Danio rerio: one gene and its partner. The protein of the gene in region 2 binds, or shares a complex with, the protein of the main gene of each other region. Links are inferred from orthologs where the notes say so. Each region holds a gene or a part of one and is shown on either strand. Other genes may lie near its edges.

What was found. Proteins that work in one complex are often made in the same cells at the same time.
Region 1: usp39 (region 2) and snrpe share a complex: the UniProt entries of both Homo sapiens proteins name them as parts of the U4/U6-U5 tri-snRNP complex. The link is inferred for Danio rerio from reciprocal best matches to the Homo sapiens genes USP39 and SNRPE.

What each region holds. Positions count from the first base shown.
Region 1 is NC_133186.1:40,126,552-40,130,766, reverse strand, and holds the end of snrpe (small nuclear ribonucleoprotein E), read right to left. Parts: intron 1,336-4,215; coding exon 1,257-1,335; intron 1,149-1,256; coding exon 1,093-1,148; 3' UTR 954-1,092; downstream 1-953. UniProt on the Homo sapiens protein: Plays a role in pre-mRNA splicing as a core component of the spliceosomal U1, U2, U4 and U5 small nuclear ribonucleoproteins (snRNPs), the building blocks of the spliceosome.
Region 2 is NC_133180.1:74,860,736-74,865,320, reverse strand, and holds part of usp39 (ubiquitin carboxyl-terminal hydrolase 39), read right to left. Parts: intron 2,549-4,585; coding exon 2,360-2,548; intron 1-2,359.

The DNA of each region.
Region 1 (4,215 bases), on a different chromosome or scaffold from region 2:
TTGAAGTTAGTCCAAGTCAACAACAGTAGATAATGTGTAATGTACTGCCATCCAGTGGCCACACGATTAGCTGCAATAAGGTGTCAACTATAGTTACAAATTCTTTAGAGACAAATACTACTCCCACCAACTGCTATACTTGTGGTGCATGTTTTTGTTGTGCACAAAAACAAGCCTAATCTTTCAAATAATAATATTTATAAGAGGTTAAACACGTTAAAGCAGGGGTGTCCAAACTCAGTGCTGGAGGGCTGGTGTCCTGGAGAGTTTACCTCCAACCCTAATCAAACACACCTGAACCAGCTAATCTAGCTCTTACCACATATACTAGAAGCTTCCTGGCATGTGTGCTGAAGCAAGCTGGAGCTAAACTAAACAGGACAGCGGCACTCCAGGACTGAGTTTGGACACCCCTGCACTAAAGTTACAATAAAGACAGTTATGACTTTAAATCAGCATATTATTTCTGAAGGATCATCTGACACTGAATAATAGAGAACTGTTGCTGAATCTTCAACTAATTAAATATAATCAAATAAAATCAGATTTTAAGTTTCCCTATTTTACAATAATATTTCCTGTATTTTTGATTGAATTTAGCTTTTGGTGAACTCGGAATACCTTAAAAAACACCAACCTCAAATATTTGATAATTTGCTTTTTGTTTAACAAAATGAAGCCGTCACATAAGTGTTTCCAGTCAGAAACAATACTGTGTACTTTTTATAATTATTTTTTTTTGTGGGGGATTTCATCGATAATAGATAGAACAGTAGAGTACTGACAGAAAAAGCATGCAAAGCAGAAAAAGGGGGAAAAAATAAATAAAACATCGGCATAGGACCTCGAGGTGGGAATCAAACTCGGGTCGCCTTGAGCAGCAGAGTGCATGCATCGATGGACTAACCACTACGCCACTGGCACAATACTGTGTATCATACTAAATACAGTAGTCTGAAACAGTGAAAAAGGGGTTTATTTTGGAGATTTAGAAAACAACAAAAAGGTTTCCACAATTATAGGTCAGTCAATAATCCAAATATTGAGAAATGAAAACAAACATTAACAGCAAACAAATAATATTCATGTGGATCAATTGGACACACTCTGCAGCAACGTGATGTTGTCTCCTTTCAACATAATCCGTCCTGTTAAATACAAAAAAAAAGCCCTCATTGTGAATTTCTTCATAAATTTCTTTTATTTTTGCTTCTCTGAAATGCATATTTCACCACAAGTGTGAAGTTCACACTTACCCAAGGGCTTCCTGTTTTTGGTCTTCATGTGAACCTCCTCCGCATCGTCCAAAACCAAATTCATGTACTCATCAAACCCCTTGAAAGAAAAGAAATCATAGAGGCTTTTTAATAAGACGTGTGACACAGTTGATATGAAAAACTTCCATATTTCCATAAAAACAATCCATATTTAAAATGTGTAAATAAATGGGCATATCATGCATGGTGCACTGATGTGTCAAATATTTAGTTTTTTTTACAAAAAAAGTGTTCATTTATTTTTATTTATTTATTGCCACATCAGCAACCTTTGGCTGTTTCGTGGCAAAATGGATATAAATAAAATATTACATGATAAAAACATTAGTATTACAATAAAAAAAGTTACTTTAGGCGAATATATAAAATCAAAATAGATCAAATTCACAAAAAAATACATCAAAAGTTAAATATGATTTTTTAGTTCAATTTGTGATAAATTATTTAAAATTCTTTCTGGTGATACCTTTTTAAAAATGTCCATCAAAATACTCTCCTTAAATTTTGTCTAATGGTTTTTAAAACTTCCACATTCCACCAAAATATGTTTTATGGTAAAAGCAGCCCGGCAGTAATTACATTTAGGTAATAAAAAGAGTGTACATCAGAAAATAAAGAGCAGGACTGGCTTGATATCAATAAGTCAGCAAGAGTAATAAGTCACAAAAATTATTATAATGCCTTAAGCCTCATTCACACTACGAGTGACTTGCACCAGCAAAGTGAGTGAGCAACTTCTGGAGACCTTCTGAGCAGCGTGACCAAGTTGAGAATCTTTCAACTATGAAAAGCAACTTTCTTGAGTGATAGCCAACAGGAGCGCGAGTAGAGCTCACATGATCCTCTCTCTGCTCGCTCAGAGGCTGGTTGTGTTCTCCGTGCTCTAGACCTACACAGACCTGCACTTGCAGCAGTTCACCACCCTGAGCGGCACGCAGCTTCAAAGTCACTGCTAGTGTGAATGAGGTATTACTCACACATACATACACACACCTGGAGCATGTATACACTGAACCTTGGATTGCACTTGAATGGTCAGATGTGCATCGACTTATTGCATAATATCTGCATTCGTTTGTGCATTAGGTCTAAATATTTAAAAAACCCTGCTGCTGTGTGTCTTTCTTCTTTATCTTTAAAATAGATTTTAAAAACTTACAAAGAACTACACTCACCGGCCACTTTATTAGGCACACCTTACTAGTGCTGGGATTGCCTTTTGCCTTCAGAACTGCCTTAATTGCTGAAGAGTGAAAGAAAATATCCCCACACCATCACACCACCACCAGCAGCCTAAACAATTGACAGAAAGCAGGATGGATCCATGCTTTAATGTTGTTGACGCCAAATTCTGACCCTACCATCCGAATGTCACCGGAAATGGAGACTCAGACCAGGTGTCTTTTTTCAATCTTCTATTGTCCAATTTTGGTGAGCCTGTGTGAATTGTAGCCTCAGTTTCCTGTTCATAGCTGACAGGAGTGGCACCTGGTGTGGTCTTCTGCTGCTGTAGCCCATTCATCTCAAGGTTGGACGTATTGTGCATTCAGAGATGCTCTTCTGCAGACCTCAGTTTTAACGAGTGGTTGCCTTTCTATCAGCTGGAACCAGTCTGGCCACTCTCCTCTGACATCAACAAGGCATCTGCGCCCACAGAACTGCCCCTCACTGGATATTTTCCCTTTTCAAACAATTCTCTGTAAACCCTCGAGATGGTTATGCATGACAATCCAAGTAGATCAGCAGTTTCTGAAATACTCAGACCAGCCCGTCCTGCACCAACAACCATGCCGCGTTCAAAGTCACTTAAATCACCTTTCTTCCCCATTTTGATGCTCCGTTTGAACAGCAGCAGATCGTTTGGATAATTTCTATATGCCTAAATGCATTGGCTGTTGCTCAATATGCAATCTTTAGTGGTCTTGCGTCCTTGTAGTCATGTAATGTCATCATCAGCTGCCAAAGTTCAGTTCCAAAACTCAAGACTGCAAGAACAGAGGACTCGTGAAACTTCCCGAATGCGTTCTTGATATTGAGGATGCAGCGATGCAGACTTGAGCAACGATCTTGCTAGAATTCCCAGAAGTCATTGCGACTGGAGGTGGGAAGCGCCGCATTTTATTTAGATTTATTATTAAAGTTCAGAGATATCACTTATTTACCTCAGGAGTTTCCCTAAATGAAACGGTAAATATAAACATTACCATAGACATCTTAATAAAGGAATAAAGGCAATAAGGGTGTTTGTTTGCTGAAATTTGTATTAAAATCTGTTTTATTGATACTGTGCAACGTATATTTATAATGTTTTTATGCAGAGTATATATTTTGAAAAGGGGAAAAACAATAACTCATTGTATGAATGCTGTAATGTTTAAATTTTAAATTAAAACGAGTGAAGGTCACGTGACCATCAGGAAGAACGCAGCATCCCATTTCCCACTGGATGCGTTCCCTGTTCTCGTGGTCTCCCGAGTTTGTTCTTCCAAGGAAAACTGGCAAGACTGGTCTCCACAAGAACGCAAGTCCAATCTCTGCATTCTTGGAATTGAGAAACAGCCATTGAGTTGCTGCCATGTGATTGGCAGATTAGAAATTTGCCTTAACGAGCAGTTGGACAGGTGTACCTAATAAAGTGGCTTGTGAGTGTATATTGTACTGATAAAAGGAGTAAATATTATACACCGATGATGGCATATTTATAAAAATAATAATTATAATTCCCAAGTGCTGATTAGCAGAGAGATTGTTCCAGCACATTTTTAAACAAGTATTAATTACTAATTTCTTTTGTTTTTGCTATATTATTTTTAAAAGATACAAGCATTCAGCTTAAGGGTAATTAGCATTCATAAGCAATGATTATAAAGCATTCGTAATCAGGGAATCATTGGAGAACAGAGGTTTGTTCTGAAGCCAATCAAAAATGTAAATATTT
Region 2 (4,585 bases):
CTGGCCTCACTAACACCACTTCCGACAGCAACCTGGTGTTCCCTAGTGGTCTCCCATCCAGGTACTGACCAGGCTCAGCCCTGCTTAGCTTCAGTGAGTAACCGGTCTTGGGCTGCAGGGTGATATAGCTGTGACATGCACCAATGAGTTAACATGAACTAGCAATGAACTACTGCATTTTCATTAACTAACATTAACTAACATGAACAAATACGGTAGTAGATGTATTGTTCATTGTTTGTTCATGTTAGTAAATGCATTAATAAACATTAACTAATGAACCTTATTGTAAAGTGTGAACATTTATTTATACCTTTCTGATTTTACTTTTACCTTCTCGTTTACAAACCCATAAACTTGTGCTTAAAGGGCACCTATGGTGAAAAATCTACTTTTAAAGCTGTTTGGATAGACATGCGTGTAAGTATAGTGTATATACTGTCATATTGGGGTGATATAAACACACCCAGTCCTTTTTTTTTTTAATTTAACAACATAAAAATAGTAGACTAATTGGAGCGGTTTTCAGATCGGCCGCAACTTGATGTAGGAGTGCGGTCCCCCCGCCCACCAATATTGATTGACAGCTGCGCGCATTAACATGTCTCCGTAGAAATCATATCAACAAGACAGGACAAGCGCAAAGCAATTGTGAACAAAAGGTCTGTCCAGTTTGCTAGGATCATCAATCATCATCAAACGTGATCAAGAGTGAGTCTTACAAGTTTGAAATGTTCTAAAACAGTGCATGTGTGTAATGAAGTACAGCGATTCACTTTAGATTCACTTCATCAGCACAGCCACGTGTCAGAACAATTATAAAAGACGCTTCAATCCCAGTTTGTGGACGTTAAACCGGGTTTATTTTGTACACTAACATAACAGATATCCATTCAGCAGTGTATATTAACCTGTACCATGTCACAAATTGTCCGTAGTGTATGTGAGTGATTGTGTGTGGATGTTTCCCAAAGAAGGGTTGCGGCTGGAAGGGCATCCGCTGTGTAAAAACGTGCTGGATGAGTTAGTGGTTCATTCCGCTGTGGCGACCCCGGATTAATAAAGGGACTAAGCCGACAAGAAAATTAATGAATGAACAATAAAAGAATTAATAAATGAACCAAGTCCAGTCCAACTGGACTCAAAAACAAACTTAATGTGCTTGCAGACCTTTAATGTGCACTGCCATGCAGCTTTGACAAACACATACAACTGTGTGTGTGTGTACTTGCCATTAAGCTTGGAAATTTTCTAAATAATTTTTATATATTTCCAGGGTATCTGCAGGATTTTGAAATCAATTTAAAAGTTTAATGACCTTAAAAAGCAAACAAATACAAGTAAAAACCTCATTTAAACCACCGAGAACATAGAAATTAAAATGACTGAACAGCAAATATAATTTCCAAATCATTTGCCAGGGTATCTGCAGGTTTATATTAAGATTTATATTTAAGACCTTTTTAATACCACGCAGAATGAAGTTTAAGACCAACTGTAAAGTTACATTTTTTATAGTACCAAAAAAACAAACAACACAGCTAATTACCATCCTTAACACTCTTTTTACATATAGAATAGTCAAAAAAAATTAGTAGAGAAACTAATAATAATAATTGAGGTGCAGCGGCAATCACCATTCGGGCCGGTCATGACAAAAACCATCCAGTTCCAGTCCCTGGTCAACTGATTGATGCATCTCTAGCTCTTTATTTGCTAATCCATAGGTTGACACAGCTGCTATAGAGTAAAATTTTGATAAAAGTAATATAAAATTGATAAATTAGCGATGCAGTGGCGCAGTAGGTAGTGCTGTCGCCAAGCAGAAAGAAGGTTGCTGGTTCGAGCCTCGGCTGGGTCAGTTGGGGTTTCTGTGGAGTTTGCATGTTCTCCCTGCATTCGCGTGGGTTTCCTCTGGGTGCTCCGGTTTCCCCCACAGTCCAAAGACATGCGGTACAGGTGAATTGGGTAGGCTAAATTGTCCGTAGTGTATGAGTGTGAATGAGTGTGTGTGGATGTTTCCCAGAAATGGGTTGCAGCTGGAAGGGCATCCGCTGCTTAAAACATGTGCTGGATAAGTTAGTGGTTCATTCCGCTGTGGTGACTCCGGATTAATAAAGGGACTAAGCCGACAAGAAAATGAATGAATGAATATGATAAATAAAAATAAAAACAAAATCTTCTTTATGGGGTCAGATCGATTCAATTGCATTTTTAAGACCTTTGAAAAGCAGATTTAAGACGCTTTAAGATTAATTAAGGTCTTATCTTTATACTATGGAATTTAAGACACTTCTGTGAACACCATGACTGACAAACAAGCAAGAAAAACAAACAGACAATTTGCAAAAAATTGCACCTTCTCTGTGTTCCCATTGAACTTTCCCAGGATGTTGAAGAGCGGGACCTGAGGAATGATGAGCTGCTCCTTCTCGTCTTTGTAAAGCGGTGCGGTGGGCAGATCCAGGGTCAGGTAGAGGAAGGTGGACTCCGACATCTCCTCCTGATACTCCTCCTTCAGCAGAAGAGCTTCTTTCTCCTCTGGAGGCTGACAGAAAGAAAACAATTACTCACATGAATGAATGACTTATCCCATTTGGCAAAGAGCTGAAGGCCAAATTATTAGCCCTCCTGTGCAATTTTTATAATTTTTTTGAAAAGTTCACAAGTGATGGTTAAAGGAGAGTTCTTTTCGACACACTGATGACAGTACATAATATTTTTCTAGCTATTTTGCTTTCGTATTTAGCTTGGAGAGCAATTTAAAGAATTTAATTCTGTAGGTCATTAGACAAGAGAGGTTTGTTCTGTAGCCAATTTGGAAAAAATAATAAGTTATTAAGAGGGCCAATAATACTGACCTTAGCAAGTTTTTAAAGGGTCAAGAAACACCAAAACACATTTTTTGAGCTGTTGACAGACGTCTATGTGTCCCACACTGCTAAAAACACTATTAGGACACCTATATTTCACTAAAAACTGTAAATTGGTTGTTTTTGCGTTATTTCAAGCAAATTCGTACTTCCGGTTTGAAACTAATTTTTGAAGCTGCGTCACGGTCATGACATAATAGCCTGTATTCCAGCGTGCAGACTGGACGTCTGTGCCAGAGTGAGTCTTATTACGTCTTACAGTGTGATGCATTAATGCATGAGTAAGGCTTGGTTCAAACCAATCAGCGCGCTCTATTGTGCAACTTCATTAATATTCATTACTGTCACAGTGTTTAGACGACAGAGACGCCACGTTGTGTTGGCAAAACAAGCGTGAAGTGTTGCTTTTATAGTTTGCTGCTGTTAAGTTTTGTTTTCATTTTCTCTCTGTGAGAGCGCAGCTGGAGTCACGTGTGGATTAACAGTGTACGCGACGCTCGACAACAATAACTTACGTGTCTAAGGAGGATTATTGTTTACATGAGAGCTGTTCTCATCTGCAAACGCTGAGATCCGGATTCGCTTGTAGTCTCCTCTTAATAAAGACGCGGCTCTAGTTGCTGTGGATTGTCCTGTCTCTACAGATTTGGTAAGTGAGCGACCAGTGCTATTTGTTTATTCAGTTTGTTCGTATCGAACTAACGGTAACTATTGCACCGAGTGTAAACATGTTAGCACCACAACCAAACTTTAACCTCGTGTAGGATTTTCACCGCATTTAGTGACCGGAATAACACACGCGGCTTTCTGACGCTACCTGCCGTGTGCATCTAAGTTTCCGGGAAATGCGGAGGTTTTTTTTTCTCTCATTCGCCGTGCGGTATCAAACATTGCATGAAAAATACCAGCTTAGAGCAGCTCCTCGAATCAAATATCTCGTTTGTCACGAGGGACATGAATGAATTCCCTGAATGAAAGAGCCAAACTGCAGTTAAAGTCCACCATTTAATAATTTGGCAAATAATTCGACTACAGATGTCCATGTAAACACAGTCACTTTGTCCCCTGTGTGTGTGTGTGTGTGTGTGTGTGTGTGTGTGTGTGTTTTGACTCTGTAAGTCAGCGCGCCCAAATAGACAATCTCACACCATGCCTCTTTACTTCCTTCGACACTCCCCCCTAAACAGAGCTGGACACGCCCACTTTTCGTGATTATGACCACCTGTTGTTGATGTCAAAGGGGTAAATCCTCCTGCCTACACCGACATCAGTTCATCAAACTGGGCTCGGCTCAGTCAAATGCATTGCTAAACGCTTCCATTATCCAGGTTAAGTTCCTGGAGTAGTTTATGAGCTCACAGAGCTGGGTGCACCTCTGAAAGGGTCTAGTGGACTCAGACACGACTCCAAATGAATCGACGTTGTTTTTAGCCTTCATAACATAACACAGTCATTTTCTCAATAAAATCCATGTTAGCCATTCAGCAACAGTCACCGGGCAGACAGAAGCCCTGTCCATGATGAGAATACGTGTCTGTTCTGATATGGATTTGACGTGCGAATTAAGCCGATTTTGATGCGCAAATTAATCGGATTTTGATGCGCCAACCAAGCAGATTTTGATGCGCAAATGAAGCGAATTTTGACGTGCCAATCGAGCAGATTTTAACGTGCCTATCAAGTGGATTTTGATGCGCAAATCAAGCCAATTT